3 linked regions of the Rattus norvegicus genome follow. The protein of the gene in region 1 interacts with the protein of each later gene in a pairwise test. Links are inferred from orthologs where the notes say so. Each region holds a gene or a part of one and is shown in the gene's direction. Other genes may lie near its edges. The genes, in order: Ngly1, Ubxn2b and Rad23b.

Region 1 (10,616 bases):
ATCCAGTTCTCAATTAAATAAAGTTCCTATCCAACAAGTTGAACTTGTTTGTAATATTATTGTAACCAAAGGAGACTGAGGTCAAGTGCTATCTCATTAAGTCAGGAAATTATTCAAAGAAGGGAACCTAGGCTTCAGTCTGTGAGCTGAGTAAATACAAGTGAAGTAACTGGGGGGAAGCAGGCATTTCAACAGGCAAGAGTCCAATACAGACAAAACACCAGGCCGCTGTGGCCAGGGCTAAATTTGAGAAGTTTGACTGAGTAGATAAAGACACCTGCCACTAACCTTTATAGCTTGATAATCTGAATTCCATTTCTCCAGCGCGCTTGCTCTCTCTCTCTCTCTCTGTGTGCGTGCGTGCGTGCGTGCGTGCGTGCGTGCGTGCTTGCTTGCTTGTTTCTGTGTTTTGCTTGGTTTGGGTTTGTTGTTGTTGTTTGATTTGGTTTTGATTTTTCAAGACAGGGTTTTACAGCCCTGGCTGTCCTAGAATTCACTCTGTAGTCCAGGCTGGCCTCAATCTCACAGAGCTCCATCTGCCGCTGCCTCCTGAGGGATGGGATTAAAGGTGTACATCACCACGGCTCAGCCATTGGTGGATAGGGCTCACGACCATTTTCAGAACTCTTAACAGTGGAAGAAAAAAGCCAACTCCCAGAAATTGTCCTCTGATCTCCAAATACCATGGAAGAGGAATGTGTATGCATGTGCTACACACACACACACACACACACACACACACACACACACACACAAACACACACACTTAAAAATAAAAATGAGGGGTAGGAGAAATGGCTCAGAGGCAAAGGCCTTATATTTCCAGAGGGCCAAGTGTCTACAACTGGGACAGTAGGTCAGCAGGCAGCAAGCATGGTGGCTAGAGGAGGAAGCTGAAAGCTCACATCCTTTATCACAAATGTGGAGCCAAGAGAGCAAACATAAAGTTGTTTTCTCAACTACTTTCAGTGACGTACTTCTTCTAGCATGGCTGTACCACCTAAATGTCCCCAAACTAGGCCACTGACTAGAGCCTGTGGGGAACATTGTTCATTCAAACCACCACACCCAACTCCCTGGTCTTCATAGACTCCTGGCCATATAATGCAAAATGCATTTAGTGAAACTTTAAAAGTCCCTGTAGTCTTTCACAGTCTTAACACTGCTTAAAAGTCCAGAGTCTCTTCTAAGATGTGAAGCATCTCAGAATGCAACCTTCTGTAAAATCATAAGGCAAATTACATATTTCCAATATATGACACACATTACCATCCCAAAAGGCCCAAGTGGGGCATAATAAGAACATACTGGACCAAACCATGACCATTACCTAGCAGAACAAAACACCAAACCCTGTCTTCGGTTAAGGGCTCCAACCCTCTAGCTTTCCTGCCTGTTGCCTACATCTCTCTCTTGGGCTGGTCCCACTCTCTCTATTCAATCCTTGGCAGATTTCTCATAGCATTGATATCGTCAACATCTTGTGATCTCCACTGGAACCCAAGCTTCCCTTTCACAGCTCCACACCACAGTCTGCCACAACTCTTACTCTCTCAGGATCTTCATGCAGAGAATTCCCTACCACAGGTTATCTGGCCTCAGAGGCTCTCACAAGCCACAGAGGTAGGATCTGTAACCCTCATTCTTGTATCCTACAAGTCAAAAGCTGGCATTGTGGGAACAACACAGCCGAGTGTGGCTGCCAGCCAGGGATGGGGTCGCTTGAATCACATTAGCAACAGTACTTTTTTTTCAATTACTCTCTGGGATCAGAAAATGCTTTAGGCTGTCTTATAAGCTATACATTTTGCTGGGGGAGATATTGCCTAGAGAGTACCCTTTTCTTTTATTCCAGTGCAAATTTCTCAACTGGGTGAAACTTCCTCTCTCCAGCACATGCTTTGGCTGTAATGTTAAGCTCCCCAGAGCTCCTTTGCTCTACAAACAGAACAATTTATCTTGTTTTCTAGCCCAAGTCTTCCAAAATCCTTGCATAATACCCTCCCCTGACCAAAAAACGCCCCACATGGTCAAATTCACCACAGCAGTATCCCACTCTCTCAGTATTAGTTTCTGTGGATATTAAGCTTTTCTACTGTTGTGATAAAACACCACAACCAAGGCGACTTATAAAACAATGTAGTTTGGTTTATGGCTCCAAAGGTTAGAGTCAAGGGTGGTGGCATGCCAGCAGGCCCAGCAGCCAGAGCAGGAAGTTGAACACTCACATCCTTGACCACAAGCACAAGCAGAGGGAGTGACCTAGAAGTAAGGCAGGAGCACACATAGCAAACCCTGACTTCCGTGCTGCACTTCTTCCAACCAAGTTGCACCCCCTGGCCTGCCTCTACCTTTTACTGGGATCACAAGCAAACAGCTGGGAACATAGCACTCGGAGCTGGGCCAAAAACCTAAGTGTAACTTTGTTATGAGCCACAAAAAGAAATTGCTAGTTAGCCAATGAAAAGTTTAAACGAAAGTTAATAGCAGTCTCTTTGTTAAACATAATAGTCTCTTTTTAAGAATGATGCTTTCACAGTCTCATAGATATATAATAGTCTTTGGCCACAGTCCGTCCATTATCTCTCTTCCGTCACCTTTACTGCCCCCCTCCCGTTTTAATCCCCTTTTCCTTCATCTCCCTCCAACTTTCATGTCTTTTGATAGTGGTGGTAGTGGTAGAGGGGTGTGTGTGTGTGTGTGTGTGTGTGTGTGTGTGTGTGTGTGTGTATTTTGTATGTTGACAGGGTCTGGTGAAGCCCAGGCTGGCCTCAACCTCACTACTAAACCAAAGTTAACCTTGAACTTTTGATTCTCCTGCCTCTACCTTCCAAGTTTTGGGATTTGCCAACATGCCGAGCTGAAAACAACATTCTTGAAGTTGGTCCACAAACCTAAATGCTAGCATTTAGCATTTAGGTATATCTGACAGATGAATATTCAGAAGTTCTAGAAAAGTCTCAAAAGAAATTGCCCAGAAACATTAAAAAGCAACAGATAATAAAGTGCCAAAGGAGGTTACATAAGTAAATATCTTTAAAATACAAAGCCCAGAAATAGCTGCTAGCTAAGTCTAGTGGTTCCTACATGTAATTCCAGCTATTTAAGGAGAGTGGAATATGGAAGACTCCAGGTCTGACTAAAAATCAAGGTCAAGTGTACCCTTAGTGACATTTCGACATTAAAAAATAATAATAAAGCCAGTGGTAGTGGACAAGCCTTTAATCCCAGTACTCAGGAGGCAGAGGTCAGGCAGATCTGAGTTCAAGGCCAGCCTGCTCTGCAGCTTGAGTTCTAGTTTAACCAGAGCTATGCAGAAAAAAACCCTGTCTTGAAGAAGAAAAAGAAGCAATGAAGGCTGGGTATATAGCTGAGCGCTGGAGCCAATTCCCAGGGTTGATGCCGGCGACATCAGTGTGGTGAAGCATGGCAGGACTAAAGAGGTGATTCACTTTCGAAGATAAATTAAGGAAATTGGTAAGCGATACGCCTGTATGAGTCAAAAGATACAATGTATATATAAACTTTATTCTCGTTCATTTTATTCTATTCTTGTATATGGCTTTTGCGCCGGTGACATGATAAACTGAGTCCCCAACCCACTGATTAAAAAATGCTCCATACAGCAGAATCATACCTTGTGAGAAACGACCGAGGTGACGTTCATCAACAGATTTCAGAAAATACATGAATCAGAAGCCTAGCAGAGTTCTGAACTATGCTTTTGTTTCTGAAGCCAAACACCAGTCATCAAAGATTTTGAGGCAGGACTGCAGCGAATTCAGGACTGTGAGCCCAGTCTAGGCCACAGTCCATGATCGCTCCCCCTTCCCCATAACCCCTCCCTCCCCAAAAAAGACAAAACAAACTTGCTCTTTCTTCTGGACTCTTTTCTTCCACAAACGACATTTATCTACCGCAAAAAGAAGGCTGTACAATTATCCGTGGGCCTCTACCCAACACTAGCTGTCACCATAGCCCTCTCCTCCACTGGCAGGCCCGCTGTGAGCCAACGTTCACAACCCGCCTCTCGGTGGCTCGCCCCGCCCCTAACCCCGCCCCTAACCCTCCCGGAACGCCCCGCCCCTCGGCGTCTCTCCCCGCCCCCTGGCCTCAGGCCTCTGCGGAGGCCTAGGCGCTCCTCAGCGCCTGCTCAGTGCGGGCCGCGGAGCGCGAGGTGGCGAAGGCCGCGGCTCAGCCATGGCGTCGGCCACACTGGGCAGCTCGTCGAGCTCTGCGTCTCCGGCCGTGGCCGAGTTATGCCAGAACACCCCGGAGACCTTTCTGGAGGCCTCCAAGCTGCTGCTCACCTACGCCGACAACATCCTGAGGTGCAGCCGGGGCCCTGGAGCCTGAGGGCCGCAGGCGGGCGGGGCCGCCGACACTCGGGCCTGAGGCGGGGCGGGCTGGGCGACGAGGGCGCTCGCTGGGGCTGTCATTGCCTCTGACAGCTGTGGTGTCCCATCTCGCTGAAGGATCCAGGCGCTGTGACTCAGCCCGAGCACCCGTTAAATGTTCACTTCGAGTTTGGTGGTTGACACATTTGTAGTTCTAAGTTACGAACTTTGGGTTGATTACTGGGTTTTTACTTCGTTCGACCTGACGCCTTAAGCAAGAGTTTTGAAGGAAACCACTCTGGAGAAGCACCTCACAAGGGCTGCAGTTGGAAGTTTGGGTCGGCACCTTCCCACAGCCCTTTAGGTCAAATGGAGCTAGTTTGGGGAAGGTGCACAGGAGGGGACGCTAATTCAGTTAAGCCCCTGGGCGCTGGCCCTTACAAATACACTGACCCGAAGTCTGGAGGAACTCTTAGCTTCAAGGCTGTACACTTCATGTGGCCCAGCTTTAGAGAATTAGTTGGGAACGATATGTTTGAGACATTGAGGTAGGTGTTTGAGGTGTTGTCCTTTACCCCAGGCTGGCATGGAACTTGCTCTGTAGCCCGGAACTCATGCCAGTCTCGTCTCAGCCTACCCCGGAAGCTGAGATTACAGGTGTGCGCCACCACAACCATAACTGTTCACTTAGGTGACACTGGTGAGATTTAAAATAAATTGAAGCGAGGACATAATGTGACTCTGTGCCAGGTGTTATGCAGCATTGGGCCTGCTCACAGCTACATGATTGTGACCTGTGTGACGATCACCTTCCTCCTTTATGACACCTCAGCTTAACCCTGAGATCTCACAGCACCTCAGAGTACAAGGTGTCGGAAAGAATGCATAGGCTTGGTTCTCCAGAGCCCACAGCTGACATTTCCTACTGAATTCTTTGAGTCCTTCACCTCCCACGCCCTGTACAGAAAAGAGGGCTGGATTTGTAAAGACACTTTGAGCCTTTCAGTATACTGAAACCAAAGATGCTGAGATCAGAGTATTTTGAAGGACTGCTTTGCATGCATATAATTATTTGGGATCATAACCACCATTATGAATGTTTACTAAACTTCTAAAAGAAACTGGCTCATCTTACAGCCTTTACTGTGCCTTACATTTCTGCTCTTGTGTTTCTGTCTTATAAAGGAAATTAGGAGTTAATAACCAAAATGATTCAGGTTGATGTGAAAAATAGCTCTTTTAGTTTGTTTTCAACAATAATGCCCTATGTTCTTAGAATTCAAGGTCTGGCTTGGTTGGGAAATGGTATCCTATTTCTTCATGTCCAAATTCTTAAGGAAAGGTTCATATACTTTTCTGGTCCCTGGCAACACATTACAATTATACTTCAGGTTTCTGTTTCCATTACTATTCTTTTTAAAATCCACAAGTGGCAAGTGAAGGCACTTTTGAAGGATTGCCCCACTGTCTCTTCTGCTTTGGTCTCAGAACAGTTTATAGAATGGATGTGCAAGTAAAAATTCACTAGCAGACTTTAAACCCATACTTGTTACTGTAATCTACAGTGAAATAATACTCTTAAATTTCTGCTTGAATAATTTTTATCATATCCCCAACACTAATAAATCTAAATAAGCTGTAGAAATATGTGCTAATATGTATGCAAAAGCTGCTACCCATTTTAGATATGACGAGCTTACTATCACCTTTCTCAAAAGCAAAACGAAACGACTCTTTTAGTTTTCCTGGCATCACAGGTGAGCTGTTTAGCTAATTTCATTCATGTACCAATTTAGCCTAGAACTTGTCACATACCTAAGAATAATGTTGAACTTCTCATCCTCCTACCAACACCTCTAAATTACAGGTGTGGGCTACCACACTTGCCATTATGAACTGCTATAGATTAAGCCCTCAGGGCTTCATGAATGGATCCCCTGTTCCTAATTCATTTATTCTTTAATATACATATTTGATATTCTACTGTTTTGTTTACAAAGCACACACAGTTGTTGACTACTAACTATACTGAATGAAGAACCAAAAATCAAACATAGTTTCTTTGTTCAAATAATATATTTGAACAAACAGCATAACATCAAAGAACAATTCCAAGATAGTGTTTTTGACTCTGTATTTATGCTCTTATGTTAGGAGATAGTGGTGAGATCCAACGTGAGACATTTAGGTGAAGGTATAGGTGAAGGGAACTCAGTTTCTGTAGTGGAGTTTCCTGAGCATTGGAAGAGACAGGCAGTGGTTGTGAAGCCATTGCATAATCATAATCATAAATGCAATGGAATGGAGAAAGATGATTCTCACTGACAATGCAAGAAGTAATAGAAGACAAAAACAATAGAACCAACTTTAATTTTTAATGGAGGTTGCCACTGACATGTAGAGAAATTGAGTGCAGTTGAAGGTTGATGAGTTTATTGGCAGCTTGTGTAGTGGAATATTTATAAGCATCTAACCAAAGCAGAAGTTTCAAGTGTAGGCAACTGTTTTAAGTGTGATCTTAGGTAATTTATATATAATTTCCAAGTTTGAGTTTCCTTATAAAAGAGAAGAAAAATACTCTATTCTAGGATTACCACAACATAGAGAAATAAAGGACCTGGCATATATATAGCTACTACTGAGGTTATTTAACACTATTATTATTATTATTATTACTATTATTATTTATTTCTGTTAAATTAGGTGAAAAGTTTGGTAGAGTGTTTGACTAAGTTTGTAGTCCACTGTTTATTCTTCCTTTCCTTCCTTCTCACTACCCTGTCTAGTGTACAAATCCTATCCCCACATTCAACTATTTTTGTTTTGTCTTAAATCCTACTGGTGGGGGTTTCATTGTTTGGGTTTTTTTTGTTTTTGTTTTTTTGGTTTTTTTTGTGTTTGAAAATCGTTTTTGTTCTGTTTTTGAAACAGTTTCGTTGTTTGGCATGTTGGGATTATAGGCATACACTACTGTATCTTGATAAGTATTCAGTGTTTGTTTGAAAGAACAGTGGATGTTAGAGGCAGGGCCAGTGATAGTGCCTGCATCCTTCCTAAGGCAAAAAAGAGACCCTGTTTTAAAAAAAGGGGTAGGGGGAACTGGGACAAAGGGGGGAGAATAGTGACTTTCCTTACCTGATTGAAATACAAAAGCAAATGCTATTTTTTTGAAAATTAAATAGTTTGGTAGATAACTATGAGAGTAAAATGACTAGAAAGAAAAAAATATCTCCAAAGTTACAGTTGAGCCAAGTACAAGATATTTGACGTCATGAAAATCTACACATTCAGAAAAAGTCCCAAGAAAAGCTCCAAGATAATTGCTAACAAGTGAAGTAAATATTACAACTTACAAAAATATTTAATAGATAACAGAGATGGGTAGGGGAAACATCAAAGCTTGACAACAAAAACAGGAAATTGTATATAGAAAATTAAGTTGATGGAGAATCAAGCAAGAATTCAGGTGAGTGCCCAGGGTACCATAGAAAGACAGGGCTGATTTTGGGCTTAGTGTATGCTTGAACTCATGCAAGTCTGCTTAGCATTTTTCACTTAAAAATGGGTTGGGCATTCATAGCTTATTCAAGCAACCAAGAGCAGAAACAAGGGGAGTCCTGAGTTTGAGGTAAAACAAGCAATAAGAGAACGATCTGGGAACTGGACATGCCTGTTGTTTCTGGGCTCTGCTTCTGGCATGGTGAACATCAGTATTATACAGCAGTCATGTAGAGCTGGAGAAGCTGTGAGGGTGGGCACAGGACAGCTGCAGCTTTAAACGGGTATGTGACAGTGGTGGTAGCCGATGTGCATCATGAAAAGTCATCTGTAGTTAGCACTGGCGTGTGCTAGGCTCATTCTGTTGTCTGTTTAGGTGGTATGTCATGGAAAGCAGGGGTGTTGAGCATTCCATGGTGCATAGGAGTCTCCCCTCAGCTGTGCTGTAAACTTCATGGGGATTAAGATTGAAAAGCACTGTCCCTAATGTAGTAAGTGCAGAGGTAAACGTTCCCAGTTCCCAGCAATCTACATTTGCTTCCGAAATCATTTGTGAAAAGATGTAGACCTACAAAGTTTATATAACACAGTGAAAATCCCATAGTATTACCAAGTTATTATAAAAGTTATTGAACACACAGTCTTGCAATTATTGTGGAAGGGACTTTGTAGACCAGCACTAATATATGACAGTTAAACAGTAATATTAGAGTTTTGTCCTTGAATATGTGTGGTTTCGTTTTATTTTATTACCTTATTTCCTATGCTAAAAACATTTTGGAATGAGGTTGAAACTTATAGTAGAAGCAGTCATCGGTGCAGGGAGGAAAGGAAGCTAAGTGACCGCTAAGGTTCAGCTGGAAGCAGAGCTCTTCAGCTATGTTTCAGTTCACAAATGCTTCTTAATCACCGCCGTCGTGCCATGAGCACTACTGTAGATGATGGCATCCCTCAGAACAAGCATAGTTTTCTACTCCCTGTCTGACACTACTTTTAGAAGCTTAAAAGACTCAACGAGTACTCATCTGTGACAGCTACACATTTCCCATGGCAGTATTAATACTGTCATCCATGAAGGTGGACAGTAGAAGTACTCAGTGGTACTGAAGTGAGACTTATGAAATGGAAGTGCTTGTCTGCACTGCTCTGTCTTTACAGTTGGAATCTCTACTGCCTCAGGGAGTCTGGCTGGTAGAAAATATGAAAGAAACATGCATAAGCTCTTAGAAAATGGGTGGTGATAATTTACCCATGATGTTATCTTCTTTTTAATCAGAAACCCCAGTGATGAAAAATACAGATCCATCCGCATTGGAAACACAGCCTTTTCTACTAGACTCTTGCCTGTCAGAGGAGCTGTTGAGTGTTTATTTGAAATGGGCTTTGAAGAGGTGAGTACGTGAAAAGGTCTCCTCACCATTCTTTATGTGCAAAACAAACAGCAGTGACAGTGAATAGTTGTTTAAATGACAGTTTTTAAATTAACTGGTCATTTTGGAAATGTGTAGAACTAGTTGGGTTTCTTTTATTTAATGTATATATGAGTACACTGTAGCTGTCTTTAGATGCATCAGAAGAGGGGATCAGATCTCATTACAGAGGTTGTGAACCGCTATGTGGTTGTTGGGAATTGAACTCAGGACCTCTGGGAGAGCAAGCAGTCAGTGCTCTTAACCCCTGAGCCACTTCTCTAGCCCCTGTTTTTTTGGGTTTTTTTTGTTTTTGTTTTGTTGTTGTTGTTTTTAACATGTTAGACATTTTTAAAGTATAATGAAGTCAGGATAAAATGTAACAAGTTTCCATAGATAGGAATTCTTAAAGTCTCAATGTTTAGAATAAAGAGCATGAAATACAGCCCAAGAATCAAATGTGGCCCCTTTAGTCTTCCAGCAGCATGTTTGATTGATCTCTGAGTGTGCAGTGCATATAAAAGTATCATCATTGTCTCCATTAAGAAGTAGAACAAGGAAGATAGAGAAAAGAGAAAGTCACCTGCCCCACATGCTTTTCTAGTGCGATGGTGATCTCAAGATGTTTACCATTTTATTCCACAAGAAGAATTTGGTGTTTCCATCCTCTCAAACCTTGTGGCAGAGTTTACTATTATAATACAGTAAATGTGGTTATTAAAGTTGTCATTTTAGCCAAGCATGCTGATACATCCTGTAGTCTTCTCTTCTTGGGAAACTGAAGCTGGAAGAAACTAAGACTGTTTCTGTAAGATAGACAGACAGACTTCTGTGTACCCCTATTTTTGGTATATAGGATATTAGCAAAGTTGAGCAGGAGTACAGGTGCTATTTGTAGAGTTTTTTCTCTTCCTAACCAAATCCTGATGCATGCCATGAGGATGTAACAGTGAAGTAAGTTAATACAATCCCAGTTCATCCACAGCTTATGCTCTCATCGCCTAGAAAACAGGAAAGAGGCAACAAGGGTAAAGAACACAAGACATGGTACGTGCACTCACAGCATTAGAGTACAGCCACTGCAGCAGTGAAGTGACCGCCGAAGGAAGGCCTGTGAGGTGGTAAAGGGTAGGACTCAAGTGACAAGAAACCACTCAGATACCTGAAACTCAGTTCATACAGGGGAGTGGCTTGAGCAAACGGCTTCCAGCCGTAGCAGTTCTGACATGAGGACTAGCTTTAAGCATAGACAGAGACCAGGCCAGATCAGGTAAAGACTCAGACTATGATAGTAAATCTTGATTATCAGATTGATGAGATTGGTAAAACATACTTCTTATCCGAGAGACTACAGAGCAGGAGGCCCATGACT
Region 2 (10,549 bases), on another chromosome or scaffold:
AAGAGCCTCAGTGACATCCAGATGACTAATTTCCAATAGATGTTAGATGGCTGTGATGATTTGAATATGCTTGGCCCAGGGAGTGGCACTATTAGGAGGCGTGGCCTTGTTGGAGGAAGTATGTCACTATGGGGGTAGGCTTTGAGACCTTCCTCCTAGGCATGTGGGAGTCAGTCTTCTCCTGTTTGCCTTTGAAACAAGGTATAGAACTGTCAGCTCCTCCAGTGCCATGGCTGCCTGGACACTGCCATGCTTCCTGCTATATGATAACCTCTAAACCTGTAAGCCAGCCCCAATTAAAGTTTCTTTATAAGAGTTGCCTTGGTCATGGTGTCTGTTTACAGTAATGGAAACCCTAATTAAAACAATGATGATAATGTCAGGGACACAATGAGAAAAGCAGCAGTTTGGAGGAGAAAAGGGAGAGTTTGGAGTTGAGGCAGCAATGTTTTTGAGACATCCAAATGGAAATACAAATTTAAAAAGCAATTAGGAGTGTAGATCTTGAGTAATGGGAAGAACTGGGTGGGTACTGAAAAAGTAGACTGGGAAATTCTGTATGCACTCAATCTACATTATTTGCGAAGTGCACATATGGAAATTCTGTACTTGTTGCAACTGGTTGTATACTGTTGTTGCTCACCCCATAGCATGGACGTGCACAGGGAAGCAAGCGTTTGATCCACTGGATCAGCTCATTTCTAAAGGAAGTCAAACAAGGTGAGGCTCTGCCTTTTTCAGCTCTTACACTGTCTGCTGGCAGTCTGCTTAATGCCACATCCTTCAGACTCTGTGTTTCTCCTTTTGGATCTATTTAAAACTGCCTGCTAGTGCAGTGCTGACATTTTGCCTAGGGTTCCTAAGTGGATGTGCCTTGAGGAGCTTGCATATAAGGCAAACTTCCTTCAAGAAGGAATTGCAGTGCTGGGACAGTGAGTTCGATTTTGATGCAGCCATAGTATATATTACATAAAATGTCTCTATACAGAAATAGACAAAGAACAAGACTATGAACCAACCACCTGATGAACATAAACAGGGGCTTCAAGGACATAACCTTGTATCCCAACGGCAATAATTCGGTGATCAATAATATAATGTTCTTGGCAAGTTCATGGAACAGAACTGTGGATAATGAGAGCCAGCTGTATATACATGATAGGAACAAGAACAGATGACACTGAATAGTGGAGTTTCACACAGCAAGAGAATAAAAAAGGCTAAAGCAGAACCCAAGGGAATATCACTGGTTAAAGGCTGGATGTTGTTGAGGGATGGCCAAAAAAAAAAAAAAATGGTATGAAACATACCAAGAGGTCCTTAGGCAGTAACACTGTGCAATCTTGCCAGGAGCTACAGAACAGCTCCCAGGGAGCAGGGAGGGGGTCAAAAGAAAAGCATAAACTTTAGAGTATAATGCACCTGAATTTAAAACTTAGTTCTGAAGCTTATTTTTTCTCTTGCCCTCACCCCACCCCCACACACTTACTTCTAAAGTATGAAGAGGATACCTAAGCCAGAAGTTATTGTAGAGGGTATAGTTTATGCAAGCCATGAAAATTACCAGCTGTAAACATATGCCATTCTCTCAAATGTTTTAGAAACAAGATAAAAATGTTTCAACAGATGAGACAACAAACGAAGGCCAGTTCTGAACCTCGCCTAGTGAAATTCAGCATAAGTAAAATTACACAAATATGAGTTTTATGTAAGTTATGAAGTTAGAGTTGTCTGTGCCTGATGAGGCTCTCCACTGAGTCATCTTACTATTGTGGTCCATTTTCAACGTCTTGTGCGTTGGGGGCCCTGGATACGGTCGCACACAACCAGGACACAGGGGGTGCAGAGCAAAGGCAGAAGTAACCGCTCAGTTGCAAGCTTTATTAATCCTTATATAGATATGAATATGCATTACTACAATTTCCATTTTGGCAAGATACCATAAGATTGTTGTTCCCACGATACCAGGAACAACTGAGGTAAGATTAAACGAAGAAACATGACTAAACAAAGGTTTCTTCTCAAAATATTCACATAACAAATCACCCCTCTTCTTATTATCAAAATATACTAGCTATTACCAAGAGAGCGTGAGAAGAGCTTCCACAGAAACAGGACACAGCAGAACATAGTTTAAGGCCAAGCGAGAAAAACATTTTCTTCTCAAGGGCGCTTGCAACTGTCACCAGTCCTTACTTGACCCTGCATCTCTATGCCTCCACAGTCCATGACTTACCAAGAATGAAAAAGGTGCTATGAAGACTGGCAATCTCGGTCCCAGTTATAGATCACCACTACTTCTATTCACGGGTTCCCTCAGATAGACTGTAAAACTACATTCCTTTGGTGAGGGGAACCAAGAAGTTGGCCTGGTCTAGCTGCCTTGAAAGGCACATGTCACTAGTTTTTTGGATTAGAGTCCATGGCTCTTGGAGCACAAAGTAGCTTCCAGATGTTGAGAGACTGATATGTTCCCTCAGGCAGTGAGGTGTTTGGGCTGTTTCTTTGTATGGTCTCTTAGACATTAAGGAAGCATGGAAGCTTAGCAGAATAACTGGTCTCAGGTGATAATTGTGGAGAGCTTTTAGGCTACTTCTAGAAACTCGACAAGAGTCTGACATTGGGCCAGGACAGAGAAGTGGACCCAGTAGGAATTTGATGTTGGTTTAGGATATGGAAGTAGGCTCAGATGATATTTACATTTGAGCTAACAAAAAGCTCAAGGTAAACTCAGCCGAGGAATGTGTGGCCTTCCTTTTATCTTGGCCATCCTGATGAGCCCTCTGAAACAGTGATCACAGGACTCTGCTTATAGCCTTGTTTGTTCCTTGACATAGAACTGCCCTTATCATTTGCCTGTACTTAGAATGATATAAAAGCAGGCTGGAGAAAAATAAGTCCGCCTCAGCCTCAGCGCTGGCTGGAGTCATGTTATAGAGTCGTTTAATTGTCTTTTTCCTTTCAGTCCTCACACCCTCCCTTGAGACCTGGTTGGCTGACTGAGCCGGCTTGGTCAATTAACCTGGTGTACCTGTGGAGCTTGCGAATGTCGTTATATCCTGGCAACTACCACTGCCGTTAGTTGTATTCTATTTCTGACAAAGGTATAACAGTCTAATGGCTCTTGATAAAACCATCACAGTCTCAGTCTTGCTGTGGCCCCTCCAACTGGACTGATTTTCATTAGTCAAGGTCGCATCTGATGACCTTGGCCCAGGAAGTAAGCATGGCTGCTTACACTCTAGAATCTAACTTAAGCCTACATCTCTAGTCTAGGTCTCTTACTGACTGCCTCATCATTGCTTATAAACATAATCATTTCTAAACACCCATGTAGTGTTTTGCTGGCATGGCTAAGATAGTCCCCATTATCTGTCTTAGAACATATTTGTGACCTCTTACTCATGGTCATTCCTGGCACAACAACTGTGGAAAATACTTCTCCTTCAAGGTCCAACATTGAAGGTATTGGCTCTCTGGGGTATTTTCTTGTCAAAAAAGTGATGGGAACTTTTAAGGCAGAATGTATATTAAGAATATCAAGACAGCAATGCAAGGTTTGGTAACGTGTACTGCTAGTTTCTAGTTTAATTATCATTTGACTTACTCAAGTACAACACTGCATATTCAGCAATTCAAGTGGAAGACTCTAAACTGAGGAGAGGGACCATCGTCCTTTGCCCTCTGAGTCTCAAGCTGGGCCTGAGAAAGAAACTGAACTAAAACAGATTTACAGGAGAAAAGGGCACAAATTTTATTTTTAAAAAAATTATGTGATTAGTGTCTTCATAGGAACGTGAAAGCCTATGTGGGTGTATCATACTGTTGGCAATCAAGAAAAGTAGCTAAGATGTGGTAAACAGACCTCTCAGATTCATCTTCTCTAGCTTGTAAAAGTTGTTGTTTTTGAAGTGCCTGGGATTCAAAGAACAGCCAAGGCAGCAGGCTGTAGGCTCCCACCTAGCATGGTGCACACAACAGCCACCAAGAGAGTATTCTCCATTCACATACAGGCCTCGCATAGTACTCTCTGCAAACCTTATTTACAAATTGTTCTCTGTTACCTGTTTAGCTTATAATTTCATAAAGACCCAGACTTCCTTTTTCTTGGGAGGCAACTCTTGGAGGTGTGTCTGGAATAAGACGAGAGTTAAATCAATCCTGGCGGAAAAGAAGATGGCTTAAGAGTCTCCTTTCTTGTTGCCAAAAGCTTTACTGTGTTTCCTGTCTTCAATATGGATCCACTCAGAAGGACTAATTTGCAATCCAATCCTGGATAAGGGAAAATGAGAGATAAGGGGAAATGAACGGTGAAGTTGCAATGTTCATCTGTTAAGATATTGCACTATTTAGTTAAATAAACTTGGAAGACAATGCTGCACTCTACGGCAACCTACAGCATCTCCCAGCGAGTTGCATGGTGACTGCAGACAGATCTCTAAAAAGGGGAAACGGGTGAGTCGGAACCCTACAGCTAGAGCCCACGGGGTGGTGGGGGAAGGAGACGGGAGAAATCTAGCGAACAAGGCACAGCTCCGCCCCCTCTCCAAGGAGGTGGGAGTCACCAAGTGGCACTGCCCCTCCCACAGTCGCTAAGCAACCAGCCCCGGAAGTCGCGGGTCCGGGGCGGGCGCCGCGAGCGGGTGAAAGATGGCGGAGGGTGGCGGCGCGGAGCCGGAGGAGCAGGAGCGGAGGTCCTCGAGGCCGCGGCCCCCGAGTGCGCGGGACTTACAGGTGCGGAGGCACAGAGCGCGGCGGTGGGCGAGAGGGTGTGGGCATGGTGGGCGCGGGCCAGAGCCACTTTGTACCTCGCCTGAGCCTTTCCTTGACCCTGTCTGCGGAGAACTGGAGGGTCTCTCCCGGAGGCGCATTGCGGGGTGGTGCGTGTGGAAACCAGTGCCCTAGCCTCAGGCGGCCATACAGGGTTTCCCTTCACGCAGGATGCACAAAGCAGAAAATGTCATTTTGCGGAGCCATCAGGGTGGCTCCCAGTTGTTGCTGCCTGCATCTGGAGAGTTTCTGTGGCCAGTGGTCAATCAGCTATCACTTAAAAAAGTAACTTTAAAATAACGCATGCAGGTTTGTTCTCTTAGATCCTTTTTTTTTTTCCACATTTGGTGACTTATAGATTAAAAGCGCTTTCTTCCTTTCTTAGGAAAAAGCTTGCGTTTTTTGCAGGGGAGAGCTTAAAACAGTTCAGGCGTTGGTCACAGCCCACTTGTAAGAGGTAGCCCACAAAACAACTTAACAGAAATAAAACTCAGCAACGTTATGATGCTGACATTCGTCAGCTGAACACTTCTCCACCGGATGCTGTCTTATCAGATGCTTTTTCCATCTCCTCATGAAATCATTGATAAAATCCAACAATTAAACGTATATTACGGGTTAGAGTTGAGAATAAATGAGCCTGAATTCACAAACCTTGACAGAACATTTTTAATAGCTGGTCTTCATTCTTTAACCAGATGTACTGACCACTTGCCATTTTAACTTTGCACTGAGGGGAATTAGTATATAAATAAAACATCAAATCCATAAGTATTAATGGATACTGTTGTAAGCAATTACATTTTGGGAAAGGTCACAGATTTGAAACAGACCAAACCAATGCAAAGTTATAATGGTACTAATTGAGCACTGGTTGGTTTCAGGTGACCCTGGAGCCAGTTAGCTAGCTGTCTTAGAGTTACATCACTGTGATGAAACACCATGACCAAAGCAACTTGAGGAAGGGAGACTCACGCTTCCACATCATGGTTCATCGTCAGAAAAGGAAGTCAGAGCAGGAACCTGGAGACAGTAGCTGATGAAGAGGCCATGGAGGGGTTCTACTTACTGGTTTGCTCCCCGTGGCTTCTTCAGCCTGCTTATAGAAGCCAGGACTCACAGCCCAAGTGTGGCACCACCCATAATGGGCTTGGCCCTCTACCATCTATCTCTAAGAAAATGCTCTAAAGGCTTGCCTACAGCTTTAAGAAAGCTTTTTTCCCCCAGTTGAGCCCCCCTCCTCCCCCAATATTTCTAACTTTGTCAAGTTGATGTAAAACTAGCCAGCACATTAGGGAGGTACCCATCTGACTGGTTGACCAAACTTAAGTATTTTCTATGTGTGGCTTGCTAGTTTCCACAAAGTCCCATCTCATTGCCAGTTTGAACTTTCCCAACCTGTTCTGACGCTGGGGGCTGCCCCATTCAGGAATTCCGTTTTGTTGTACAAGTAATCTAGGTTTAATTGACCTAAACAGTCTCTGTTTAACCACGTATAACCTTTTAGATGCCTTCATAACTTTTTGGAGAACTAAGCACAGAGTCAAGTTGAAGTGTCACTGAATGCCAAAAAAGGGCAGTTCCGAAGATGAACTTGGAGAATGCAGAGATCACCATCAGGTGTGGGGTAAACACTGGATAGTGAATTGCCAGCTGAACAGAATGTCTCTGCTGCCATGCAGAATAGTCTGTTAGCTTCTAAATCAGGAAGGAGTGTTTTGGGAACCACCAGAAGAGGGCTACACAGTTATCTCCTAAAGTGTCTATGTTGTGTCTTCTGGACTGTGTTTAAGGCTGGTGTTTGGTCCTTCGGGCAGTTAGAGGGTTTAAAGGTGTTGAAGGTGGTTAATTGCATGCTTCCCAATGCTCCTACAGAATAATATCAACAGGATTACTGTTCTTAATTCTGTGGTTCCATCCAGATTAGCATTGGGAACAAGTAAACTGGTCTGAGGCTAATAGTTGCCACTATGCCTGGTCCTGTTGACTGTCATTCCTCCAGATCTCTGGTTCTCAGAGAAGTAATGTCCCTGGAAAGGCTAAATAATGTGTGGAAAGCCCTCATACCAGCATCTAGTCCACTAGGTACAGAGTGTGGCTTGAGCATTATGTAGTTGCCAGAGTTTTCCCAGGTTTGGCCAGTCTGTACAGGTAACTTTACTGTGTTTTCTACAGTGTAGCATGAGAAGGCTGAGAGTTCTAGTTCTCTTTTGCTGTGTTTCTGCCTTTCACAGAGACTTACATCCAGGTTTCCTTCCAGGCTAAAAAGATGATCAGTCCCTTACTTGAGAAGAATTGAGGCAAGACTGTCCCTTACTTAATCTCAAGAGTGCTCAGTCTGCTATGTCTAGTTATCTAAATTTTAAAGATTTAATAATATTCATGAGTAGCCCTTGTCAGAACTGCAACTGGTACATAACTTGCTCACCTCTGAGGAAATCACACTCGGATAGCATCCTTCGTGTTCCCTTTCTACTTTGCGTAAAGTCAAAGCTGCTTTATTTATTTTACAGAAGAAAAACATTTTAATTGGCAGCAATCAAATAAGTGGCTAAAAATAAGAACTGGTGAGGCAGGCATGGTAGAGTTCATGAAGGAGGGACATTCGGCTAGGTTCCTCAGATCTACCTGGATCAAGAGAGCAGAGTGTGGAAAGCGGAAACGTAGCTGCTTTTGCCTTTTTATTCAGGCTAAGACCCTAATGCTCAGGGTAGGGCTTTTCTCTTTAGAAATAATGCAGAAAAACACACCCAAAGGTCTGTCTCTGAGGAGGTTCCTAGTCCAGTTGACACTGACGATTACCCATCACAGTTGGCACCTAAAGTAAATGTCACTAGGAGGCTAGCGTATGGTATATAGATTTAGAAAAAGATATTTAAGAAAATCTGAAGCCTTATTTACATAGGTCACCTGAAACAGGTGATTAGAATACAGAAAACATTGTATGAGATACATTGAGCATATAAGTCATTCATAGATCTGAAATAATACAATTGGCTCAGGAGGAAGTCTCTCAAAGAAGACTGTTTGAAAGATGGACACTTACTGTAGTCATGGTCCTTCCCCTATCCTGCTTCTAGTTCTGTTTGGGGTTTTGGAGGGCAAAAGTAGCAAACCATGGCAGGGAGACACAGAGAGTGAAATCCGGAACACTGGCACATGCAGGGTCACAGTTTAAAATAAGACTTTGTAGTGATGGAATGGACGTGGCTTGTGCTCTATGTGCATTCCTCTTTCAGCTGATTTTCAGAAGAATTTTGATAGGCATTTATAGAAGTAATTTGTTTAGTAATCCACCAAATGTTACACAGTATGTGCCTGAGATTTGGATCCAGTTGAGAGAGAACAACGTGGTGTATGAACATGGGGTGGAGGTCTGGAGGGAGGAAAAGGGAGAAAATGATAGAATTGTATTTTCATTTCGAAAACTTATAGCTCTGTAAAATATTTGAGTTCAGTTCTTAGGTCAGAGGCATTGATTTGCATTTCTAGGGAAATAGCCACTATAGAAATTCACAAGTTGATGCTATCTCCGACAGTGAGGGAGGAACAGGAATAAAAACAATTAGGGGAGTGGAAAAAATTCTACGCATCTTGAGGGTGTACTCTAAATGTGTTTATCTAAAGGCCATGGAATCTTCAAAGGCCAGGCAATGTAGCTGGGTGTCACAGTGCTTGTCTAACATGTATGAGGCCTGCCTGTGTTCCTAACCTTGGAGTGGAACCCCAAAGAACAATCATACCAATGGAATATCGACTAGCAGCATTAAGGAAGTTTGTTTTATTGTTGATTTTTCAAGACAGGGTGTCTTTAGAGAGGCCTGACTGTCCAGGAACTCACTTTGTAGACCAGGCTGGCCTCAAATTCACAGAGATCCTCCTGCTTCTCCCTCCCAAGTTCGAGGACTGAAGGTATTTACCACTGTGTTTGACTGAAAAATTTTAAATTATTGCCAAAAATAGGAAAAGGAAAAGAAAACTATAATAATTGATAATTTGGTTATTATTTAAATTCTATTTCAAGGACAAATGTATTTTTACTTTATTTAGAAGGTATCCAGCTATACATCTACAATACTTAATTTAACAGTATTACTTTATAAATGGCTAAAACCTATATTTAATTCATCTCCTTTCCCTAAACTTAATGAAATTTGTGTCTTAGTAGACTTTTACACAATACTTTTGAACTCATTTTATGTACTTAGGTTTTGAAAACAGCTATAAGTGAAGTTATAGGGTTGATTGAATTAGAGAAAGTGTCAATAACTTGAACTGTCTTCAAAAAAATCTTTAAACCTTGAAGAAAGTTACACAGGTCCACAGCAAAAATAGTATGTTGCCAAACTCAGTTTTTGAAAGTGTTGAATAGGTAAAGAATTATTATAACAATTTTTTTTCTGACATAGACAGTTTGATTAGTTGAATAGTATGAGACCTGGTAACTTAGTCTTGGACAGACATGTTTTGAGACAACCACCCCATTTTCTCATAGGCTATTGCCGTTGCTCAATTTCAAGCCAGGTTCCTCAGGTATTGTCTAGAAGTCTGTTTCCAGTGTCAACTGTATAACAAACCTGTTATTGTGTGTAGTTGGCCTTGGCAGAATTATATGAAGATGAAATGAAATGCAAGTCTTCCAAGCCTGACAGATCTACAGCTACAGCCTTTAAGAGCCCACGAACACCGCCCCTTCGGTGAGTATTGCTTCCAAACACATACCCTGCTTTGCTCACTAAGCCCAGAGTACTTTAAGTGACCTTGGGACTTTTTAAATTAAAGTTTTTAAAATAGATACGGAAGTACTATACCTAAATTTCTTACAATCAGCTAAAAGAAACTTCAGTTACCTTAGTATATGATAATTATCATAGGCACCACGTGAAATTATGTCTTGATCCTGCTTTCTGAGGCCCAGTGGCTCTTGAATAGCTTTATCATAGCCCCATTGAGGTCTGATGGTGTTTTCAGGCCTCACCTTCCAAAGCAACCTTCATATGCAGTCCTGTCAGTTGAGGGCCAGAGCTTTCTCACCACCCGTCATGGGACTGAGGTGAATCTCAAGTTTCTGAAGTTTCTGTGTGTGATCCTGTTGTGTGATGCCTAGTCTAACAGATGATTTCCTGGGATGTGTTTGTTGTCATTAAAATCTCTGAACTATAAAAAGAATGGACTCTCACATGCTCTCACTTTTGTTTCACTCAACTCTGAAAGCACAGGATAGCCATTATGGCACTCGCTTCTAGATAGTTCATTGTGCATCCCCTAAGAATGAAGTATATAACAGAAAATGTCACTGTATAGGTTAACAATTAACAGTGGTGCCATGATGTCATTTACCATGTAGCCTGTGGTCAGCCATTTCTTCCAGCTACCTTTGGGGATTTGGGGACCCAATTAGAGACTACTCATTGCATCTGATTTTTCCTATGTTGAGTTTCAGTGCAGGGCATCCTCTCTTTTCTGTCTGTTTTTAGCTCATCTACATCATCTAAAATGTATTATATTCAGTTTTTAAAAGTATACACCAGATGTCTCCAAACTTCCCACATTCTAGATCGCTGTTTCCCCATAATTAGATTCTTGTTAAACATTTTGTCAAGAGTACTAGATAAGTGATACTGTCTGCTTTTTATTATATCACATCAGGAGCCATATAATTTCAAGTTTTCCCACTATTGGTGATATGCTCACTTGGTTAAGGTGCTGACCACCACATCTCTCCATTGTCAGGTACAGTTTGCTTTATAATCAGCAGGTTGGTATCTCGGCATGGTTT
Region 3 (9,843 bases), on another chromosome or scaffold:
TTTTTAAAATAGAAAACTGCTATATTCGTGGTTGTCTCGGTTGTAAGAGCCTTTTGAAATTTTTTGTCCTCCACATACTTAATGTTTTAAGAAGTAACTTCCTTGTGGGTGTTATGCTTGGTACTTTCCTGAGTGCATTGTTTCTGCTCTTAAAAGTTGGAATGAGGGATGGTGAGGAGGTGGCTCAGTGGATAGAGGCACTGGATTCCAAACCAGACAACCTGAGTTTGATTTACTTGCCTGGCCAATATGGTAGAAGAGAACCAGCCGCCGCTCATTGTCCTTTGCCCACTGTGTATATTGTGCCTATGCAGACACCTATGAACACAAACACATTTAACTCAAAAGCTGAAATTGGAGAGAAGTTTAAATGTATGGAGTGCATGTGATAATTTTTACTCTTACTGTCACTTTAAAATTTGTAATAGTGGAGCTGGTGAAATGGCCTAGCAATTATAAGCACTAGTTGCTCTGGCAGAGGGCCTAGGGTTCAGTTCCCAGCACCCACATGGTGACTCACTCACATGGTCTATAACTCCATGTCAAGGAAATCTAATGTCTCTTCTGACTTCCAAGGCATTACACATGCGGTACACATATCTACACTCTGGGATATGAAAATAAAGATTGTAATTACCTGCTACTTAATATCATAAATATTGTACACTGAGCATAACTTCAACCTCCTTTAATTGCTCCTCCCATTTGTCCTCTTCATTCCTCTAGGTAGCTTCACATCAAAGCGATTGTGTATATCTACTGTCAGCAGCTCCATGGTGTTTTATAATCTTGTTCGTCAGCCTTTTAATTTTGAACTTCATCGATTTCTCAACAGAACAGAAATTTGCATGTCTGCATGCATGTTTTTGCTGGTTAACCTAGGACCTTATGCCTAAGGTTTTCTTTAGGTTAGCATAGGATCTATACAACCACCTCTTTTTGCATATGCAATATAGCTTGTATGCCTTCTTTCCCAATTAGTTGTTGAAAACTTTCATAGAAAACCTCACTGAAAGACGTGGCCACCTCACTTGGTTTATGTGTGTGCTCCTTTATCAGATACTACTTTCAATGTTCTGCTGCTGCAGCTTGTTTTTCTGGGGTAATTTAGCTGCGGTGCTATTTTCATTCTTAGAGCAAGAGTTTTAAGGGTGTTACATTTATAGCCTTTTGATGTTGTTTGCATTGATGAATTCTCAGAAGTCTTAAGATTGAAATTTTTTCATTAACTATAAATCCTACAGGTACAACTTTGGACATAACCTCTTACGAGACTGGATTGCCCACACACTTTAATACTTAAACATATCCTTTAGAAATTAGTAACTATAAAATGAGTTATGCAAAACTTTTTGAAATGATTTTTTTTCTAAACTCTTTACAGTACACCAGGAGATTCTTCTCGGTCAAATCTTTTTGAAGATGCAACAAGTGCCCTTGGTGAGTGTCTTAGAAAACACCTTGTCAGATGTGCAGTGTCATCTTCTAGACCACACTGACAGTGTGAGCTTCATGACCACTTACAGTTAAGCTTTAAAATGATTTACTTATATCGTTAGTACTAGAGACTTTGATGTATTCTTTACTGAATTCTTTAAAATCTCTTCTTGCGGTTAAGTACCTCCTTTGAAGCAAATTATTTTCCAATGTGAACTTTATGTGGTCTTAACAGGTTTGGTCTGTGGATGGCCTATTACAGAAGGCCTTGTCATTTTCTTTTGTGTACCTCATATTTGCTTGCTCACCTCCAGTCTTCATTCACCTTGCTGTCTTTCTAGATTTCCAGCTGCCTCCTGTTGCTTACATGGGCACATAGTAAAAAGGTCTTCTTGCCCCAGTCTTTGATTTGACCTGTTTTAATAATGCTTTCTCCTTTCCCTTCATCTCTAAACTGTCAGCTTTTCCCTCCTATGATTAAACCCCTGGAGTACGGTTAATGTTTTTATTGTTTATCCATGTTTCTGTTTTGACATAGTAGGCAAAAGACTGGGATAGTTGAAGCTGTCTGTTTGACTGGGTTCTGGGCTTCCCAGCAGCAGCAGCAGCAGCAGCAGCATTCCAATGGCTCTAAAAACCCTTGGGATAACACATTGGTCCTGAATGAACTACTTGGGCTTTAACTCCTTGATACCCTCATCGTATGTAGTGACAAAAATGTAGATGTTTTAAATAGCCTAAGATCACCTAGGTATACTAAATTCAGAATTTCATCTTTGAGAAACTGTCCTGGGACGACACTGCCACCAAATACTTTCAGTAAACATCCGTTCATGAGACAGAAGGCATACTATACTTCATACAGAGGAAGCCATGAATTATAGAGAATTGTTATAAAGGCATTGGAAGAACTAGACAAGAGGAGTACTTAGAGAATGTTAACCATTCTGTGGTTCAGAGCTGGAGCCAGTTGGTACTTGTCCCTAGTGTTACTAACGGTTCTGGTTGTTGCCAGTATCGCCAAGATGGTGCTGTTGAGCAGGAGCCAAGTAGATGATGCCTTTTGTTGTTGTTGTTGCTGCTGCTGCTGCTGCTGCTGCTGCTGCTGCTGCTGCTGCTGCTGCTGCTGCTGCTACTGGTCATGTTTTTACTTACACACATCTTAAGAAGAGGCATATTTTGCTCATGTTTCAGTCTGTAGGAAGCAAAACAATCTATGACTTGACCAAGGAGCCAGCACACAGGAATGCTAGTGCCCCTTATATTTAGCCTTTATATCCCTGGACATTCCACGGCAGCTTTATAATCCCTGGGTCTCTGCTCTGCTGAATTCGTTTCTTTAACTTCCCACTTGGCTTTTGTGATCCCATTCCTGTTCTGTGTATGTCTCAAACCCTTCTTCTCAAGCACTCTAGTAAAATATTGTTCCTGACTAATTATGTGCTTTCCATGGTTCTGGCTTAGGCTATAGTTAAACATTTAAGCTGTGGGAATGGCGGAATACCATGCATGTGGGATTCCCACATGAATTAATGCTACTCATTTCCCTCTGAACTTGCAGACTTGTTTATGTAAACTTCCAGGGGGAAATCTGCAACCTTCCAAGTCTTTGTTCCCTTACTTGCTTGCACCAGTGTGTTTGCTGTTGTTCATAGGTGACAACATGGCTGCTGGTCACTTAAACTAGAGGACAGAGTTGGGGGTGGAGAAGGGAGACCATAATGAATCCACTTTCTGACGTGGCAATGCAGTGGTGCCATAACACAAGTGGGAAAGAAAATAGTTTTACAGACAGGTGAGTTGAGAGTTGAGGGAGCAGCTCTCATTCAGGCAAGCTACTGTCATCAGGGAGGGTTGGGGATGTTAGTGACTCAGATACAATACTTGCAACCTGGTCTGAAATTGTAACTTTTCCAACCTTTGTTTCCCATTAGTTTGAAAAATACAAGGTGTCAAAAGAAAAAGATAAAACACAGTCTTACTGCACCAGAATTGATTGTTTAAAATATATATAGCAGTGGACTTGGTTTTTTTGTGCAATAGCATTTTTCTTTATGCCTCATACTGTCCTTGAACTTGTGTAGATAACACTGGCCTTCAACGCACAGCAGCAGTCTTCCAAAGGAAGTATAAGAATGATCCCCAGGTGCTGACTCCCCTGTCTCTTATTGACAGGCTGCCTTCCCTGACCTGTAAATTCTTTCTTGTATCTGTACCTGGTATTTTTACTATGCATATAAAACCTCCTAGTTTTCTATTACTTTTGTAAGTTACCAAAGTTATCTGGCCATTTTTGGTAGGTCAGAACCTTTGACCTGAATTTTGCTGCCTGATACCAAGGAAGACTGTATGTTATTTGGAGACTTGGGAGAACCTAGTTCCCTTTCACTTCTAGAAGCTTGTAGACCCCCTTCTCCACCCGCAAAAAACAGCAGCAGTGCTTTTGTCTTTATTGTCTGTAACCCTGTTTCTGTCCCACTTTACTTTTAAGGACCCTGTTGATGACATTGGGCCCACCTGAAAGGTCACTTCCCTTTGTCATACATATTTATAGATTACATATTTATAGGTTCTGGGAGTTAGAATGTGACGTTGACTTACTACATTGTTAATCGTCTCTGCCTAGCATAGCAATATGAAACACTAACATCATGGAGTCAAGAACTATGAGGAGAATGTTGAATGTTCCTGTACTTTTCTCCCCCATTGTTCCCCACACACCTGTTTAGTGACAGGTCAGTCTTACGAGAATATGGTAACTGAGATCATGTCAATGGGCTATGAACGAGAACAAGTAATTGCAGCCCTGAGAGCCAGCTTCAACAACCCTGATAGAGCTGTGGAATATCTTCTAATGGTGAGAACCGTGTTTTACTTTTCTCTTTCAAACTCTTGAAATTAAGGTTTTAATAAATGAGTTAACAATTCAGTGGAAAGCATTATATGCTGGATAGTTCCCATCCCCACCCAATATTGAGATTTTGCTATCAGGTAACCTTCTGGAAAAGATTCTGAAATGATTTAAATGATGTGAGGTGAGTTAGGAAGTGACTCTTGTTTGGGGTAGTTGGTGCCTTTCATGCTAATGAAGCGCAGGTGAAGGCAACTCTAATTGAACAGACTGATACCTTAGGTCTCTTATGAAGTACTTAGAGCAAAATTAGTTTTCCTCTGGAGGAGCCAGCATTAACTTTTCTGTCTGAGAATTTCATGCCACATTCTGTACCCTGAATCTAATTGTCTTGTAACTCCATGTGAAAAATAGCTGTTTTGAATGCCTGTAGTGTAGCCCCTGTTAGTCACTGCTCTTTCTTCCTTATGAAAAGAAATTTGGCCTTGGTTTAATAGGAAATGAACTCATTACCATCTGTTAAAGTTAAAAATTTGATGGATTTTTAAATGCGTATAATTGTGTGCATCAAATCTTGTGCATCAAAATAGAAAATTTGAGTGTACCTTTTAAATTGTACTCATTTCAAAAGATAAATGTTTGAAACATACAGAAACTCAAAATATAAACTATTAACATTACATACCAATTTGTCCATCTTTGAAGTTTTTCTTTTTATGTGTGGCACTTTCTAGGTGATACTTGTTTAGAAGCATTAGATCAGTAGAGGAGACTTGGTCGCTTATCCACCAGTTGCCTGGTTTGTGTAAACACAGTCCTTTGTTTCACAGAATGACAGATTATGAAAACCTCTGCACCAAAAGTCGCCTGGAACCCATGGGCATTGAACGCCTTAATTACTGATACTCTTAAGAGTTCATTTGGACATGGGTTGTGGCTGTTACTGGACAGTGCATCTGTCACTGGAAAATTCTGTTGAACAATGCTCCCTTGCACTACAGCATTGTATCTGGGCTACTTGTAAGATTCGTGTGTGTGTGTGTGTGTGTGTGTGTGTGTGTGAGAGAGAGAGAGAGAGAGAGAGAGAGAGAGAGAGAGAGAGAGAGATTTACATTGAGATTGATTAAAATTTGAAATTGTGTTGGCAGGGAATCCCTGGAGACAGAGAAAGTCAGGCCGTGGTTGATCCTCCTCCACAGGCTGTGAGTACTGGAACTCCTCAGTCTCCAGCAGTAGCTGCAGCTGCAGCAACCACAACAGCAACGACAACCACCACTTCTGGAGGTAAAGTAGCTGTTAGGTGGAGAATGGTCTTTTAGTGTAAGATTGTTTAATGTAACGTACTTCACTGGTTAAGATTCATTCCCAGAACACTTGGATAAGCTTTGTTTCTTCACTCAAAGAGGAGAGATTCTCTGGCTTTTAGTGTATACCAGTGTTATCAGAGCTTACACTAGTAGTTCACTCTGGAAAAAATGTGTATTCACAGTTTGAATTGTTTGACTTTTGAGTGGATGTCTTACCTTGCTAAGAATTATCATTTCAGGCAGGGTGTGGAGGCACACTCCTTAATCCCAGTATTGGGAAGCACAGGTAGACACACATCTGAGTTTGAGGGAACATAGGGAACGTAGTCTTCGCAGCAGAGTTCTCAAATGGCCAGGGTACATAGAGAGACACGGCAGTGGTGGTGGTAGCAAGCTGATTTCTAAAAAGCTGGGGTTTTGTTTTTTTTTTTTGTTTTTTTTGTTTTGTTTTGTTTTGTTTTGTTTTGTTTTGTTTTAGGTTGATAGCTTCTTGCTCTCATTTTGGCAGTTGAGACTCATGTAGTGCAAAGAGGAGGCATAGCTCTGACTCAGATTTATAGGATGCCACCTCCTAGGTAACTGTGGTCCCTGAGTCTCACTTCATTATTGTACATAATATAGGACTAGATATCCATAAACATGCATGTGTTTCTTATTGTGAGCACAGGCAATAACATGACAACCTTTTATTTTGATATAGGACACCAGCTTTTTTGTGATGGTTCACAGGGCATGGTGGGTGGGCTTGCCTCTCAGCAGTCTATCCTTTTGCTAGTAGAAAATAGTATAACTTTTTAGAGCAGTGGTGGCAGGCACATTGGAGTTTGGAGACCTTGTGACTTACTTTCTCTATAACACGAGAACTTAAGTCATTGTTCAACTACCTGCTGTTACATATACTTACTGTTTTTGTTTTGAAATGTTTGTATATATTTCAGGCCACCCCCTTGAGTTTTTACGGAATCAGCCTCAGTTTCAACAGATGAGACAAATTATCCAGCAGAACCCCTCCTTGCTTCCTGCTTTGCTACAGCAGATAGGCCGGGAGAACCCTCAGTTGCTGCAGGTGACTCATCCATATTAATTTGGAAAATGGGCTTGAATGTTGTTTTATTCTGTACTACAGGTAAACCAGAGCCTGTGTTCTAGGTAGGCATATTGAGGAATGAATCGAGATAAAGACTAGTCAGCGTGCATTGCTTTAACTGCTTACGTTAGCAATGGGAGAGGTTGGTTTCCTCACTCAGATTTCCCAGGTACATTTATGTGTTAGGGAATCCGAGAGGCTATTTAATTTTGTGACTTGCTTTTCATGAGCTTGCTACTAGTGGACATTGCCTCTTAGAAACTTACCTGTGGGCATGCTTCATGCCCAGACCAGAAAATAGGCACAGAATAGCCTAGTGAGGAAAATAAACTATACATGAAGAGTAAGCTCTCTACTTAGGCCCGTGGTAGCTTTTCATTGTTGGTTTTTGTGAGTGGAGTATTTGAAAGAATTTGCATGCTCTCCTTTTTTTACATTTCAGAACTGTTGGGTTTCTTTAATAATAATGTAAGAAATCACTTAAAACTAACTTTCTGACTCTTTTAGACAGAGCTGGTCTGAAATTCAATTTCCTATAGGACTCGGGCATGCCTAAGATGATCTGTTTCTGCCTTCTAATAGATGAAATTAGTGTAGTTCCTCGCGCCTGGCTAATCTTTTTCTTGTTTTTATTTAGGAGTAAGTAATTATGTGTTATTTCTTCTGTTTTTTACATCACTACAGCAAATTAGCCAACACCAGGAGCATTTTATTCAGATGCTAAATGAACCGGTTCAGGAAGCTGGTGGTCAAGGTGGAGGAGGAGGTGGTGGAGGTGGTGGAGGTGGAGGCGGTGGAGGAATTGCAGAAGCTGGCAGTGGTCACATGAACTACATCCAAGTAACACCTCAGGAGAAAGAAGCTATAGAACGGGTGAGTTTAGGTACAGTTGAGTTCCTTGGTCACTGTATTTACACCACTCTGCACCTTGGGCCAGTGGCTCCTGCTGGCATGCAGCTGTGGCATTTTTCTGTCCCTTGCCCCAGGGACTGCGGTAAAGACTTAACTCTTAGCCACATCCCCTACGTTGTCCTTTCTTGGCTCCAATAGCAGCAAAGTACCTTCTTGAGTAAATCAAGTATGACTGTTAATTGGCTAAAGCACTAAATATTATAACTAATTCAAAATCATTCGTTTTTCATACTTCAGATTTTACTACTGTCCCCAAAATGTTAAATATCTATATGAATTACATGTGAGTAGTGTATAATCAACATGAGAGAGACACTAACTCCTTATGTCCTAACAAGTGGACTGGTACAGGCTTGGGCCCTGCAATAGCATACCTTGTGATTCTTTGATCAGTAACTCCATTTCTCCCTCACTTTTGACATTGTTTTCACATTGTTATGAAGTGTTTTGAGATGGTAATCAGATAGAGCCCTGTGTTCACAGAGATCTCTGCCTCTCCTGCTGTGAGATTAAAGACGTGCATGCCCATGTCTGGCTTTAATTTTCTTCTGTACTTAGGCTTCACTTGGTTTCTCACTGTAGCTTTTCTTTTCTCTGATTTTTGTGTTTTGTGGTGTTTTCTAGATCATTGCTTAATCCAGGTGAAAGGTTTATTAATTCATCCAAAGAATCCACAGATTGCCTTTATGTGTAGGGCTGTGATCCCTTGTGAGTTCTTTTGGTATGGAGTATGCCAGTCTGCCATTTTGCCTGTGGATATCCATGTATCCCAACACCATTTGTTGAAGACTTTGAAGGTATAGGTTCCTATAAAAATGTCAGTGGTGCATGGATGTGTCAGGGTTGTTTGGGGGCTTAGTTTCAGTCCTTTGATTTATGTTTATCCATAGCCACCCAGGCCAGTACCTTACTCCTCATTCACTACCTTTACTGCAGATTTCTAGTTTCAGGCTTGGGACAAGTGGTCTGAAATAAGAAGTGCATATTTAACATACCAAAGTGTACCAGGCTTCTCAGGCCCTGTCTGTCTCAGGGCATAGCAGGCATACCCCACCATGACCCCACCATGGGCTGTGCTTCCTCTCACACAGGGGCTCTTCACTATATAATCCAGACGTTTTGGTTCTCTCCCTTTCTGCATTTCTCCTCTCTGCATTCTCTCTCCCTCTTTCCGCCCATCTCACCAACACTGCCCTCCTGTCTTCTATCTGCATGGCAACTTCACTGACCCGCCTGTGAGATTGGTGAACCTGCCTGAGAGCTCCCCCCAGGTTGAAACCTACCTTTATACTTTAATTTGGCTTGAATCGGCTCATTTTTCTGGCAGAGAATAATTTATCAACAAGTATGAAAACAAAGGGTGTGGAGCGCTGTTCCAGATCCCTCATTCTTCTGTGTAAATCTCAGATCAGCTTGTCTGGGATAGAAGTTTTGGCTGAGTTTTTCTATTCTACTTATCCTGGAAATGGATATGAGGAATGTCCTGAATCTCTTTTTCCCCTCTTTGGTTTTTGAGTTTGTCATTGAGGCAGTCTTGATATACAGTAGCCTGTGGGGGCTTTCAGCTTGGTACGTGGGTGAGGATAACCTTTAAGTCTTGATTCTTCTCCATCGTTTTGCAAGTGCTGGGACTGCAACATGTAGCACTGTGCCCCCTGAGACCTTAAAACCGTCTGAGTGAGATGGAGCAGCATTGTGATCCCAGCACCCGGGAGCTGTAGCCTTGAGACTGACTGTGTAGTAAGATCATTTCAAAACAAAGAAACAACTTAATGCTTACCAAGGCTTGTTCTATGGTATACGATAGCTATGGTAATTAAAAATTAAAAATGTGTACTACATTTGAGTTTATTCCTAAGAGCTATTCTTTTTGATGCTGTTGGGATTTTTTTCTTCTTAATTTCAAAATGTTCACTATTAGCTGCGTAGAAGTACAGCTTGGTTTTGCACGGTGATCTTATAGTCCCCTAAACTTGCTAAACTCATGTGTGTGTTTATTCCCATGGAGTTCGCTGGTGAGGGAAGTTCCCCTTCAGTGTCAGGGTGTGAGGATTGTCTCATAAACGGTTAAATACTTTTTCTAAGTATCAAAGGATCATCTTCCATTCTTACAAATAATTTATTCTATGTAGAGGAACATTTGCATTCCTGGGATAAAGGCCACTGTCCATTAAATAAAGGTGTTTTGTTCAGTTTCCTAATATTTAGTTGAGGGTTTTATACCTGTATTCATAACAACTATTACTTTG

Evidence for each region.
Region 2: the proteins of Ngly1 (region 1) and Ubxn2b interact in binary tests that used the Homo sapiens proteins (3 or more experiments, as listed by UniProt). The two-hybrid records come from large-scale screens. The link is inferred for Rattus norvegicus from reciprocal best matches to the Homo sapiens genes NGLY1 and UBXN2B.
Region 3: the proteins of Ngly1 (region 1) and Rad23b interact in binary tests that used the Homo sapiens proteins (3 or more experiments, as listed by UniProt). The two-hybrid records come from large-scale screens. The link is inferred for Rattus norvegicus from reciprocal best matches to the Homo sapiens genes NGLY1 and RAD23B.

The regions. Positions count from the first base shown.
Region 1 is NC_086033.1:11,628,871-11,639,486, reverse strand, and holds the start of Ngly1 (peptide-N(4)-(N-acetyl-beta-glucosaminyl)asparagine amidase), read left to right. Parts: upstream 1-4,158; 5' UTR 4,159-4,200; coding exon 4,201-4,331; intron 4,332-9,111; coding exon 9,112-9,226; intron 9,227-10,616. UniProt on the Homo sapiens protein: Specifically deglycosylates the denatured form of N-linked glycoproteins in the cytoplasm and assists their proteasome-mediated degradation. Cleaves the beta-aspartyl-glucosamine (GlcNAc) of the glycan and the amide side chain of Asn, converting Asn to Asp.
Region 2 is NC_086023.1:24,096,591-24,107,139, forward strand, and holds the start of Ubxn2b (UBX domain-containing protein 2B), read left to right. Parts: upstream 1-4,625; 5' UTR 4,626-4,650; coding exon 4,651-4,734; intron 4,735-9,363; coding exon 9,364-9,467; intron 9,468-10,549. UniProt on the Homo sapiens protein: Adapter protein required for Golgi and endoplasmic reticulum biogenesis. Involved in Golgi and endoplasmic reticulum maintenance during interphase and in their reassembly at the end of mitosis.
Region 3 is NC_086023.1:74,910,571-74,920,413, forward strand, and holds part of Rad23b (UV excision repair protein RAD23 homolog B), read left to right. Parts: intron 1-1,384; coding exon 1,385-1,440; intron 1,441-4,166; coding exon 4,167-4,294; intron 4,295-5,436; coding exon 5,437-5,572; intron 5,573-6,533; coding exon 6,534-6,661; intron 6,662-7,366; coding exon 7,367-7,555; intron 7,556-9,843. UniProt on the Homo sapiens protein: Multiubiquitin chain receptor involved in modulation of proteasomal degradation. Binds to polyubiquitin chains.